Linked DNA regions of Mus musculus. The protein of the gene in region 2 interacts with the protein of the main gene of each other region in a pairwise test. Links are inferred from orthologs where the notes say so. Each region holds a gene or a part of one and is shown on either strand. Other genes may lie near its edges. The genes, in order: Ppp1r18, Card9 and Ssx2ip.

Region 1 (4,341 bases), on a different chromosome or scaffold from region 2:
GGGGAGCACCTCAGCTCACACTGGGGAGCACTCACTCCCCTGGCACTGTTATTGGCTCTGCACCTCAGGGATTCCCTTCCATGTTTCCACCTCAGGGAGCTATGTCAGGGCCTATCTGAAAGTTTATAAGTAGTGGCTCTTTTGTACCGCGGCTGTGCTTCCTCCCCACTCCTGCCTTAGTTTCTCCTTAGGTCTTTCCCTACAGCTCTGTGTGGTCTCCTAAGGCGACGTCTCCCGATTTTAACTCGGGTTGACTCAGGGCTCCCTGCTCTCCCAAAGGATATGCGCTGCAGAAAAAATAAAATTTTATACATATGATATCCACTTGTCTGTCCATGACTCTCAAGCCGCAGAACCAATTGTGGGAAGGAAGATGAGACCTAGTTTTTGCGGTGATAGCCGAGCACTCTAAAACGATCGCAAGGCTGGGGCCACACCCCATGGACCCGCCCCATCTCTCAGTCGTCCAGTCCTGTTCCCTCCAAATATTAGTTTCTCCGCGTATAAATCAGGGAACCCACGGGAGACAGAATAACTCTCTGGGAGGAGAGCGAACTCCCAAAGCCATTTTGCCTCAGACCCCAGGGCCTGGCAGCCGCCTTCTCTGCCACGGTAACAAAGACTGGCTAGGGAAAGAAAAAGCGTGGGGAGGAGCGGCGAGAGATGGGAAGGGCGGGTCCGACTCCAAGCAGCTGCCGCTTCCTCCCCATGTCCCTCAGGGGGCCTGAGTCACGGGCCGCCGCCCCGGGTCGGCCAGCTGGAGAAGTGGGTCTGGACACCCCGCTTCTTCGGGGCTGCAAGGAAGGAAGCGGGTGAAGGTCTCTGGAGACAGACAACGGAGAGCGAGGGGATAGCCACAGCAAGAGAGAAGTCCCACCAGAGTCCACGCGGGAAGGAGGGCAGCGAAGCCCCGCCCTTCGCCGGGCTCCTCCCTGCGCCCCCTTCCCTCGCCCCATTGTCCGTAGACAAAGCGGTCGCCGCCCCCGCCTGGCCCCCAGTCTGCGTCTCCGTCCCTCCTCTTAGGCTCCCTCTTCCCTCCTCCTCTGTTTCCCTCCCTCCCTCCGGATCTCCCTTCGCCTCTCTCCTCCTCTTCCTCTCTCCCGACGCCTGACTCCACTGCACCTCCTCCTAGGGACCCCGAGGCGTGTAAGTTGACTATGTGGCTCCCACTTTAAGAGAAGTGCCTCCTGGCTCCAGATCTTCCCTGGAGTGTCTCCCCTTTTGCATAGATTGTCCCTTCAGTTCCCTCTGGTGCACAACCCTTTGGGTCAAGGTCCCCTGAGAGCCGGCTCCCTGGTTGGGGAAGACAGCAGAGGCGTGATGTGGGTCCTCGTCGCGCCCGAGTTCTGGAGCGTATCCGGTGGGGAGGCCGGCGAGATTGTAGGGACTGAACGCGGCTGGACGCCAGGGTTCTGGGAATGTACGGGGCTGCACACTTGCTCGGGTACCAAAAGTCCCCAAGGAGGGTATTTCCCCTGACCCGCCTCGGGGGCGGGAAAGACAGTGGGGTAGGGGCCGGACTGAGGGGCGGGGCCGAGCGCAGCCGGGAAGGCAGCCGGGAGCTGCGGGGGCCCCGTGCGAAGAGGCGCCGGCGCCCTTGCCTGTTTCCCGGTCTCCCCTTCTACCCTGGACCTCTGCCCTCTACATCTGTCCTCACCTCCTCACCTCCTGCCCGATCTCCTCGCCCTTCGCCGTCTGGTTCCCTGTTCTTCCCGTTTATCTCCCCCTGCGTACCGGGGGAGGCAGTCTTGACTGAATCCGCTCACTTCTCAGCCCCGGCTCCTCCGGCTCCTCTCTCTCTCCTGCTTTTCCTCTCTCCCCTTTCTTATATCTTAGGGACGGTCTGGTGCCCACAAACCCCAATCTAGCTCTGCCTCTGCCCGGAATCTCGACTCTTCCTCTCCCACTATCCCCACCCCCAACTTGGCACCCAGCTTTTCTCTTCAGTTTTTCAGTTCCTGACTCTTTTGCTGTCCTTCCTTTCACGGCCTTCCTCTATCTTCATTCTTAATTCCACTGTCCCCTCCTGCCCTTCTTCGTCCCTTCCCGCATCACTTCCTCCCCCAACCCCCATTCTCAGTCTCCGGGCTCCTCTGAAGCTTACCCTTCCTGTTCCTGTCCCCCAATACTCTCTCCTTCACTTCCAGTGACCATGACCGCTATCCCAGATTGGAAGCTACAGTTGCTAGCCCGGCGGAGGCAGGAGGAGGCAGCGGTTCGTGGCCGCGAGAAAGCAGAACGGGATCGCTTGTCCCAGATGCCAGCCTGGAAGAGGGGAATCCTGGAACGACGCAGAGCCAAGTTGGGCCTGCCTCCTGGAGAGGGGAGCCCTGTGCCTGGGAATGCTGAGGCTGGACCTCCAGACCCAGATGAATCTGCTGTCCTTTTGGAGGCTATTGGACCAGTACATCAGAATCGATTCATCCAACAGGAGCGACAGCGGCAGCAGCAACAGCAGCAGCAGCAGAGAAACGAGGTGCTTGGTGATAGGAAGGCTGGGCCTCTGGAGGTTCTAGAAAGGAGATCAAGTCCTGGTAATTTAAGAGATCAGAGTCCTAAGGGAAGAGAGTCCAGAGAAGAGAGGCTAAGTCCCCGGGAGTCCAGAGATAGGAGGCTGGTGATAGGGGGAGCCCAAGAGTCAAGTTCGAGGTCTCTTCGAGACTGGAGGCAGAGCCCAGCAGAGGCCAGAGACCTGAGTTCCAGACCAGCAGAGGCTCAGAAATGGAGGCTGAGCCCTGGAGAAACTCCAGAGGAGAGTCTGAGATTAGCGGGTTCTGGAGATGACAGTCCCAAGAGAAAGGAGGTGTTGGAAAGCATTCTGAGCCCTGGGGAGCCTGGTGACCAGAAGGCCAGCCCGACAGATGTCCATAAATGGAATCTTGACTCAAGAGAACCCCAGAAACAGAGCTTGATACAGCTGGAGGCCACAGAGTGGAGGCTGAAGTCCGGTGAAGAGAGGAAAGACTACTTGGAAGGGTGTGGGAGAGAGGAAGAGAAATTGAGTTCAGGGATTGTTCCGGTGACAAAGGAGGTTCAAGACATCACCTCGAGCGAAGTGGAGACTGCTGAGCAGAGACCCACTGAAAGCTGGAAATGGACCCTAAACTCTGGGAAGGCTCGAGAACGGACGACCTGGGACATAGATACACAAACTCAGAAGCCAGATCCTCCAGCATCTTCAGAGAAGCACCCAGGACCTTCTGGTATGGAGGCTGAAGAGGAGGCTGAGAAGGAGGAGGCGGAGGCTCAGAGCAGGCCTCTGAGAGCCCAGCAGAACCTCTGCTCTGGGCCCTCCCCCCTCCCACCAGAGCACTCTGGGACGGAAGGCTCCAGACAGCAGGAAGAGGAAGCGGCAGAACCCCGGCCCCCAACACCAGCCCCTCTGTCTCCCCCACCCTCGGCCCCAACTGCCCCCCAACCCTCTGGGGATCCCCTCATGAGCCGTCTGTTCTATGGGGTGAAACCAGGACCGGGGGTGGGGGCCCCCCGCCGCAGTGGACACACCTTCACTGTCAACCCACGGAGGTGTGCGCCCCCTGCCAGCCCAGCCCCTCCAGTCAACCCTGCTACAGCTGATGCTGCAGGGTCTGGATCTGGGAAGAAGCGGTACCCAACTGCAGAGGAGATCTTGGTGCTGGGGGGCTACCTCCGTCTCAGCCGCAGCTGCCTTGTCAAGGGGTCCCCTGAAAGACATCACAAACAGGTAAGAGAGCTACCATGCCTGACTGGGTAGAAGTCTCTTTCTAGTTCTGACTGGATGGCTTTTTTATATGTGTGTGTTCTTGTCTTCTATTCTTTTTATTCCTGCCGACTCCCTTCCTCCCCCTGCACACACCCTTCCTCTGGGTAGCCTTCCTTTGCCATTCATTTTGGAGCCCCAAGGATTCTGTTCTGCACTCAACTGCTGTGTTGGGGTGTGTCGTTTTCGGGTGTGCCCTGCCTGTTTCTTCTTTCCCCACTCTCTCGGTCCCCTCTCCTTTTCTTCCTCTGGGCTTTTGACCCAGTTAACCCTCTGGTAAGAGAGAAAAGATAACGTACCTGTGAAGGCGTGTGAAAATAACCCAGGGGGACAGAGAAGGTTGACGGAGAAGTTCAGGGAAGTTGGAATGAAGGTCTCAGCCCCAGAAGGAGGAGGGGGTCAAAGCTAATGGAGGACATTCCAGAACAGAGGTGGGGGGTGGGTTGGGGTGATGGAACAGAGCTGGCTGAAGGAAGAAGGAGTTTAGACCCCAAGTCGGCCCCCACTCCTGGCAAGAAGAGGCCATTTGAAGTGGGTGACTTCAGGGTTGCCTACCCCTCCCCCCAAACTGGGCAAATGTTAGACAGTGCTTCCTTCTCTCT
Region 2 (4,323 bases):
CATCAGCAGCTGCGTCAGGCCAGACTCCCCTGATGCATCTGGGGACCATGCGGTGTCAGATGGAGCCTGCGGTTGTCACCTGCAGACCCCGTGCTGGTCCTTGTCCGTAAGTGTGCATTTGAAGACTAGGGGGGACAGAGGGAGCATTCCTGGCCTCCCACAGAGAAAACTGGTAGGATGGGTCTCTCAAGACTGAGTGTGCTCAGTAGGCCCAGTTGGCCTTGCTGTCCCTCACAGGTGAACTGAGATTCTGACTCATCACCCAGGGCCACTCACATGCCCTGGGTGAAGACTCCAGTTGACCCTCTTCTCCCCCTAGCCCCTGGTTTTTGAGACAACGTCTTGCTATGTAGTCCAGTCTGGCCTCTCACTCAAGAGATCTGTTGGCCTCTGCCTCCAGACTACCAGGGCTAAAGGTGTGTGCCATCGCCCCTGCCCTGTTTATCTCACAGTGCTCTTTATGAGATGAATGAGAATTGATGGGGTTGTGGCTCTTCCATCAGGAGAGGACACCTCTGTCCCCTCTGGGAACTGTAGGATTCTGCTCTTGGCTGACAACTGGGCCCTGCAGAAATGGCACTTCAGAGGGGTCACTACTTCTCAGTGAAATTTCCAGGCTGTGAGTAGGAAAGGCAGAGAAGGGCTCCCCTTCTAGAGACCAGTAAGAGCTCAGCAATTCAGGAAGACCCTGCCCCCTAGAGCCTGTGAGTATCATCAGGGACCACTACCCTGATCTACATCGTAAGGCTTGTTATCACACTTAGTCACTCCAACGCCATCATAGAAGCCAGGACCCGAGTCCACCCACAGCAACAACCCACACCCGTGCCTCTCACCAATGATCATGGAGAAGACGCGTGCTGGCTCCTTGCCAGTGACTTTCCGGTATAACTGAGGGTAGTAGAGCTCCAGGCTCTCGAGGAAAGCCACGTAGCCCTTGTGGCCTGTCCGCTGCAGGATGTCCAGGAGCACACCTTCAGGTGGAAGACAGAGTCAAGGCCAAGGGCTGGCGGGTGGAGGCTCTTGGAGATGGGTAGGATGATTACTCTGGGTAGACATCCCAAGCTCTAGCAACCCCCTTCCTTCTGGGCCATTGAATAAGGCGCCCTGCAGGTCTCAAGTCTAGGTGGGACAGGGTGCTGCCTTCCCTCTGGTGGCTGTCTCAGGCAGGGCCTGAACAGTGGTGGGGACTCCCCTTCCTCCACTGGGCAACAGCAGGTAGACAGGACAAGAGGGGAGGAGTCTCTCACTCATATATCCTACACGGGGATGGAGCTGAGTGGGGACAAGGCCAGGGCAGTGAAGAGAGCATGGAGTGGCCTCTGGCTGGGTGTCTTATGGGGGTCATGCAGGGCTAGAGCCTGCTGGTGTGGGAGCAGTCCTCACCCACTTTCCGCTTGCGGATGACCAGGTTGGGGTCACTGAGCACCTGCTCCTCATCATCGGGGTTCAGGACTTTGCACTGGCGTAGATAGGGTGTGATCCGGGAGGGGTCAATGACAGAGATGAGCTTCACCCGGAAGCTCTCCAGGGTGCTCCAGCACTCGTCGTCATTCTCATAGTCTGACATGTCCTCTGTAGGCTGCGGTTATAATTGGGGAGAGCAGCTGAGGAAGTGCCCACCTTCTGTTCCCTGTCAGCCTAGGATAGGACCCAGGCCTGAGTGTCAGGGCAGGGCTTTGGGCAGGGTCAGAAGGGATCCGTTCTAGGGAAATTTCAGGGCTCAGCCCTATCTCCTCAGCCTCATGGACAGTTTCTGAGGGGAAGCAGAGGTCCATAGACAAGCCACCTCAGACCACCTGTCAAACTGAGCACCCCCAAGCAGCTGCCCGGCCCCTGTCATCTCAGGCTTTCTCATATGGATATGTAGGGAAGTGACCGGTTGGGGTCTAAGAGAATACTCTTTGTACAACAGCCCTGCTCTAGCTTCTGCCCCTACCCAAAAGTGCTCTGGCATGCCCTGGAGGTAGGAGCTTTTGCCTCTAGTGGCCATCCTACATAGTACCTTCTTGGGTGGCATGGACCCTTGCTGGCCAGTCTCCAGATTGGGACTAAGAGGGTCAGGTTGGCTGGAGGCTTTCTCACTGTGCAGGGGGCCAGGCCTATGTCTGACTTCCTCCTTCCCTGACAGCCCCGTGCCCTTCAGGCCTTCCGTTGTAGCCAGCTGGTGATGCAACAGCCTGTGGCACGGTGCTATTCCGGGAGGGCTGGGAGGGTTGGCCGCAGGAGCATGTCTGCCTTCCTGCTAGGCTGGAGTATACTGGAAGGGCAGGCAATGTCATCCACAGTCTACAGACATCTGCTGTGGCTTCCCTCCAGTTTGCTTTTCTGCCGCTAGATGAGCCCTGGCCTTTGGCCACATGATGGGAATCAACCAGGCCAGTTGTATGTAGGGGGTTACTCATGTGGACAAGTGTAGCCTCAGTGAATGGCTTCAATGATTTTAGGGCTGAGTTAAGGTGGCCATAGAGCGCCCCTGGCTCAGTCCCTAACCCCAGCGGAGCTGCACCTCCAGTTAGAGACACGGCCATGGCAGGCCTCTTCTTCAGAGGCATCTCTTGGCTTCCTGCTGCTTTCTGGTTGACCCAGTGGACAGACATTTCTCTAAACCTTGGGCCTATGGCCTGCCATTGCAGCCCCACAGCCACATGGTCCAGCACTGGAGGACTATGCTGCAGTGTACAAGGATTAATCAAATGAAGGCGTGAGGATGGAGGATGCCACCTGCCTGTAGGTACTTACGCGCTCCAGGATCCCCAGCAGTCACCACAGGCTTCCACCCACCTTCCTGGAAGGGTACTGAACTTACCTCAGGGTCTTGTGAGAGCTACCTGCCAGCAGATGCTGTCTGGGTTATGGACATACCAGGAGCCTGGGTCTCTGGGAGTGTGGAGGGGTTCCCTAACTGGAGAAGGGTGGAGCCATGAAGGAGGCTGTGCACTTCCTGATTGATGTGTTCTGGTTGACGCCACAAGCCAGCCAGTCCTCCCGCAGGGGACAGTCTACCTTCTGATTGGCCCATCCAGGAACAGAACAGAGGGAAGTAGAAGTACTCTGGGAGCAGAGGAGCCCTCCCTGCCTGCTCATCTGAACTGGATGGGCAGTCCAAGGTCCTCCTGGATCCAGGCTTCTGAAAGTTGCTTTTCTAACATGGCCCTGCCTCATATCCTCATCTGCCGTCTAAGGACAGTGGTGCAGGGTAGGTGCAGTGGGACAAAGCTTGGTCAAAATCTACAAGCTGTAGGCAGCTATAGTCCTCTATGGATTGCGTGCCACAGCCTCTCCTTCAGGGTGGCCCTTCAAGAGTCAGCCTGAGGTGGGCGTGGGGACCTGCTAGCCCTGCCCAGCCAGTGTAGCTGTTAGACAGGCGCTGCTGTCTAGCCTACAAGATGAGTTGAGGCAAAAGCTTCCAGTGCTGTATGGGAAGGAAGGGTGGGACACTTATGCAGAGCCCCAGCTGGCCCCTTCTGTAGCTTACTGGCCCTCTGCTTGCTCCTATGGGGACAGTGGCCTTGAAAATACTTCCAAAAGCAGCAGTCAGGAGTCCTCTTTGGCCTTGGGGGGCCACACTGCTAGGGATTGTGGCTTGCTGGGTTTCCAGGACGGCAAGGGAGTCCATCCATGGCTTTGCAGTCACTCCAGGAAGGAGGTCACAAGGCCTCCACAGTGGTGGCTTCTTAAAAGTGTTAATAACATGAAACTTTTGCTCATAAAACTGAAGTGGAAGTCAATAGCACAGATAGCTGAAGAAACCCCAAGTTCTCCAGAATGGAGAAACCCAGTGCAGAGGTTAGAAGGAGCCATGACAAACACGCGTCCCTGGATGTGTGACGGCCATCAGCTGGAGTGACAGCTGGTACAATCACTAGGACTAGGCTGGTCATACCATTTTACTATGAGCTGCAAGCTTCCCACAGAGGATGAACACATGTAAAAACTAAATCCTGGCCAGCCTGGTCTACAGAGGGAGTTCCAGGACAGCCAGGGCTACACAGAGAAACCTTGTCTCGAAAAACAAAAACAAAACAAACAAACAAAAAATAACTAAATCCTGGAGAGCCAAGGGCCCAGGATGTATAGTCTGGTGTCATGGAAATAGTGACTAAGAAAAAGGAGAGATGAACCGGCAGTTAAGAGCACTGACTGCTCTTCCAGAGGTCCTGAGTTCAATTCCCAGCAACCATCTGGAAGGGATCCGATTCCCTCTTCTGGTTTGTCTGAAGGGAGTGACAGTGTACTCACATACGTAAAACGCTTTTTTTTTTTTTTAAAAAGGGAGAGACAAGACCCAATGGGGTCTCAGCACCATGCCAAACACAAGCC
Region 3 (4,254 bases), on a different chromosome or scaffold from region 2:
GCCTGACATTTTTGGACCTCCCATCCCTCAGGGTCTGCCCCGGGCCAAGACTGGTTTTGCTGGTGACTGCATCTTCATTGCTTCTAGATCTCCAGTCCTGGCACAGAAGACAACTTAACAAAGACCCGCCTGAGACAGCCATCGCTGCATTTCCAAGGCTCCTGTCAGCTTCAATTACGTGCCTGGTGAAAAGCTTTCAGGTATTATCTAGACCATCAAGGTCCAGAGGCCATGGACTATGCAAATTATTACCTAGGCAGACATACTACATCAGAAGCAATATAATCCCCAACAAACCCTTTAGATATTCCTTATTGCCCTCTGGTCAAGGTTCACAGCGCTGTTCTTAACGCTTGTCGCTAATGCAGCTCCGGCTGCACATGGACGACACCAACCACCTGTAACCTGCACCTGCTCTGCTGTGCCCAACGCACAGTTGCTTGGCGAGCGCCTGTCAGGACACAACTGAAAGGCCTTCTTTCCTAAAGCCCGCCCACATTTGCATTTCTCCCCTTCTCCACACAAAACCTCCTAAAGTACAAAATGTTCAGAGCAACACATCTTTTTGTCCTTGGGCCTGGCAAGTAGCAGCTGAGTGTCTGACAATAAATGCTTACTGAAAGAATAGATTTATTAACAAACAACAAATCTGTTCCTACACAAAATATTGGACCAGCATCACATGGTATCAATCTAGGTTTTTCCATTACTAATAATGGATGGTGTGTTTCTCTACTGTCTCATTCTATAGGCTCATGGCTTTAAGGTAAGATGTACGCTCACAACCACCTAACCATAATTGCCCAAGACACACAACAGACTCACACAGCCTCGTTATGAACTAATGGCTAAGCCAACAAGGTGAGTCCACAGCTACTGTAAAAGATACAGGAAGCTAACACTAAAAATCACTTTTGAAACTGAGCCTAGAAACCTATAAGCCCAGCTTCTGGGAGGCTGAAGCAGGAGAACTGCAAGTTCAAGGACTGCTTGGGCAAGCTAGTAACAAGGCAGCCTTGCCTCAGAATCAAGGCGCACCGGGTTTCACTGCTCAGCAACAGAACCCTAGCCTTGCATGTGCATGGCCCGGCTTGGTCTGGTTCCCCAAGGAACGTGTGAGGTCGTTCAGAATGAAAGGTGTTTGTTTTTTATGAAGATCTGTATGTTGTTCTACTTTGTCTGGGACTCCTAAACTCACGCGTATCCCCTACCTTAGCCTCCCAGGGAGCTGGGATAAAGACAGGAGCAGTGTGTGTGTGTGGGAGGGGGGGGGGCTTACTGCTCCAATGTAAACATGATTCAAGTCCCTGTGGAAAAGTGTTTTCTAGGCGCTCTCTCCCCCCCCTCTCTCTAGCTGAATGCTAAGTGAGGGCACTTTCACAAAATCTGTATCCTAACCGGTTTGGGCCGACAAGCTGGTTTGTCCAGTTTTCCCATTTTAAGAGAGCCCAAGTACATAATTTGACTGGGCTGGGTTGGAGGCCTTCTGGGCTAACATGAACAGTTAACTTTTCCATGGTGCGTACACCTGCCTGAGCAAGCCTAGGATGCTGTGGACTTAACAAGTCTTGTCACAAGGCTCAAGTGTGTCATGGATCGAGTTTCACATTTCATCCTGGAGTGGCCCGGCCCCAGCAGTTATCTCCAAGCTGCTGTGGCCCTGTTACTTAATCCCTGGACCTATTATCTTCCCTGTACAGATGGAGAACAAGAAGGAAAGGAAGGGTGTAAAATGACAGGCTGTAGGGGCCCCAACAGTTACCAAAGAAAACGCCCCGGTTTGAATTCTATCCATTCCTAATCCTCTCAGAGAGCCACTTTGTACGAGGAACTTCTGTGCACACCGGGCAGGACAAAGTGTCGACTGGGAGCACAGCTTTTCTTGTTTAGTTTGAATGAACACTCTAAGCTTCGTGGGCCCACAGGCTCTTGGGGAGTAAGGAGATTGGATGGCTTAAGTTTTGCTAGCTGGATCGACGGTTTTGAATTTTATCCAGCCTCGTAAATGTGTCACGTCATATACAGACCTTTCCGTTCAAGATCAAATTTGGGACTAGAAAGGTTTTCCTCCGGAACCTTGCGGGCTCCATGGTAGCACTATTTTCAGCTAACTCCAGGCCTGGACTCTAAACTGAATTGAAGCAAATATCAAATCCAGAAGGCTCTCATCCTTGGGCTCCACCTTTCATCCAGCCTGGATTCTAGAAGAAACTCCCGGCTCTCACAACTGCATCGGCGTGGCTGGTTATGAATCTGACACGCAGGACTAAGGAGCCTGAACTGTGGGTATTAATGTAAAGATTCCTCTACTGGTGCTGATGGGGAATTATTGGGCAAGTTTTATTTCCTGGGCCCAGGTGACTTGCATAACCCAGCAATCTGCACCAGGAGAAATATGTGCTGACCCGGACAGAGCTCACCATTTACGCACTCTACACCACTGGAAAATCCGGGGCCAAATAATTTCTCAAACAAGCCTGCCCCTGCGATGATGTAAGTTCTTCCCCTAAACGTGGGGCTGGACCACTATGAGCCACCTACCCCTGCAGCAGCGGCAGACCTCACTCGCTAAGTCCTGCGGCAGCCTCGGAGGACTCGCCAAGCCCGCGCGGTCGGGCCAAAGGGACCCCGCGCGCGCCCGCGCCGCATCCCGAAAGGGCGCGGGGCCCCCCCAGCACCTACCTCGCACTTTCCGCTGCAGGCGGCGGGCAGCAACGCTCTCCAACCGCTGCAACGGCCGCGACGAGCCCGCCCAGAGTCGGCCCCGGTGCCTGCGTCCACGTCCAGCCCGGTGCCCTCCTCCCCGCCTGCGCGTCACAATCCCGCCGCTCACCGTCACGGCTCCGGGAGCGGCTCACGCCTCCCGCAGCCCGCGGGCCCGCACCCGCGGCGGCACGCAGCGGCTCCGCGCAGCCTCCAGCCCGCCCGGTCCGCCCGGCCCGCCTCTCGCCGCTTTCCTCGGCGGGCGCCCATCCCACCCCGCCCCGCGCTGGCGCCGCCCATTGGCTCCGCCGGTTGCCAGGCGACGAACAACCGCGGCCCGCATTGGTCCAGCGAGGACTAGCCTCCGACAACCCCCAGCAGACGCCAAGCCGCTCTCCCCCGCGCAGCTGCGGCTACCGCACCTGTTACACCCGGGGTCACCCGGCCGCTGCTCCCCGCCCCCAGCTCTCCACGGGGACAAGAGGAGGGTCCTAGCCGCTTTAGAGCCGGGCCTCTGAGGCCACCCCTGAACCCCAATGCTCTCTGGAGAACCAGGTGCGCTCCCCAGAACGGAGAGACACCGGGGCATTCCAGAATTAGGTCAGGCCCTGGAGAAGGAAGGTAGTGGCCTCTGGAATCAATGCGCCAATGCACAGAAATCCGTGTAAAACCAGGGCCAGGGTAGTGCGCGTGAAACCCCGAGTTCATTCCTCAGGACTGCACAGAACGCATGTGAGGGTCTGTGATCCGGCAGAATTGAAGTACAAGGTCATTGGCAGCTTGAGGCTAGCCTGGGCGTTATGAGAGAAGCTCAAGTAGTGAATAAAACAAACTAAGGCAAAGGAAGGGACCTAGGGAGGAGACAGCTGGAAAGGGAAACTAAGAAAAGGTACTTGTGAACTAGACCTTGATGAAAAACTCCCTAGGCCCTCTCCATGAGTGCCAAGAAAATGTAGGACAGTGGCAATTGGCCAAATCCACTTGCCTCTCCCTACTATTTTCACCTAAAGTTCCCCTGGGAAAGGAAAATGGAGAAACCTTAGTAAAGGGTAGGGTGGTGGGGTTCTAGCAAGCTGTTTACTCAAGAGGAAAAAAAAAAAGAGGTTTGGGGTTAAGTGGCTCCTGTGAGAACAAAACATCGTAAAAGGAACACAAGAAATACACCACTGCCACAGAAGAACAAGACAGAGAGGAACAAGGACTACACATGCCCACAGTGCTAGGTAGAAGATCAGAGTGCAGAAATGAACAATGGATTTGAAGGAGATTGGATGCTAAATACAGGTAGCAAGGATACATCATTACAAAGGCGCTTTGGAGCACAGTGCCAGTGAGAAATTACTGCCAATGACTGTCTTACTCTCGAAGTTAGACCATTAGTGGGGTGAGGTTGCTCCCTCTGCATCCGAGGGGGTGTTCTGAAAGTTCCCTTGTCCACTCTCCAAAACACTCCTTTTCCTCTCTCAAGAAACATCTTAACGTGGCATTTATTCTTTAAATGCTGAGTCCGGCTTGGCCGTGCAAGGGACAGCATGGTATGGTCCCACCCCT

Evidence for each region.
Region 1: the proteins of Card9 (region 2) and Ppp1r18 interact in binary tests that used the Homo sapiens proteins (3 or more experiments, as listed by UniProt). The two-hybrid records come from large-scale screens. The link is inferred for Mus musculus from reciprocal best matches to the Homo sapiens genes CARD9 and PPP1R18.
Region 3: the proteins of Card9 (region 2) and Ssx2ip interact in binary tests that used the Homo sapiens proteins (3 or more experiments, as listed by UniProt). The two-hybrid records come from large-scale screens. The link is inferred for Mus musculus from reciprocal best matches to the Homo sapiens genes CARD9 and SSX2IP.

The regions. Positions count from the first base shown.
Region 1 is NC_000083.6:35,865,083-35,869,423, forward strand, and holds the start of Ppp1r18 (phostensin), read left to right. Parts: upstream 1-1,532; 5' UTR 1,533-2,147; coding exon of another isoform or gene 2,148-2,152; coding exon 2,153-3,703; intron 3,704-4,341.
Region 2 is NC_000068.7:26,357,978-26,362,300, forward strand, and holds the start of Card9 (caspase recruitment domain-containing protein 9), read right to left. Parts: upstream 2,933-4,323; 5' UTR 2,810-2,932; intron 1,583-2,809; 5' UTR 1,571-1,582; coding exon 1,387-1,570; intron 975-1,386; coding exon 837-974; intron 107-836; exon of another isoform or gene 39-106; coding exon 1-38. UniProt on the Homo sapiens protein: Adapter protein that plays a key role in innate immune response against fungi by forming signaling complexes downstream of C-type lectin receptors.
Region 3 is NC_000069.6:146,403,364-146,407,617, reverse strand, and holds the start of Ssx2ip (afadin- and alpha-actinin-binding protein), read right to left. Parts: upstream 2,977-4,254; 5' UTR 2,683-2,976; intron 1-2,682. UniProt on the Homo sapiens protein: Belongs to an adhesion system, which plays a role in the organization of homotypic, interneuronal and heterotypic cell-cell adherens junctions (AJs).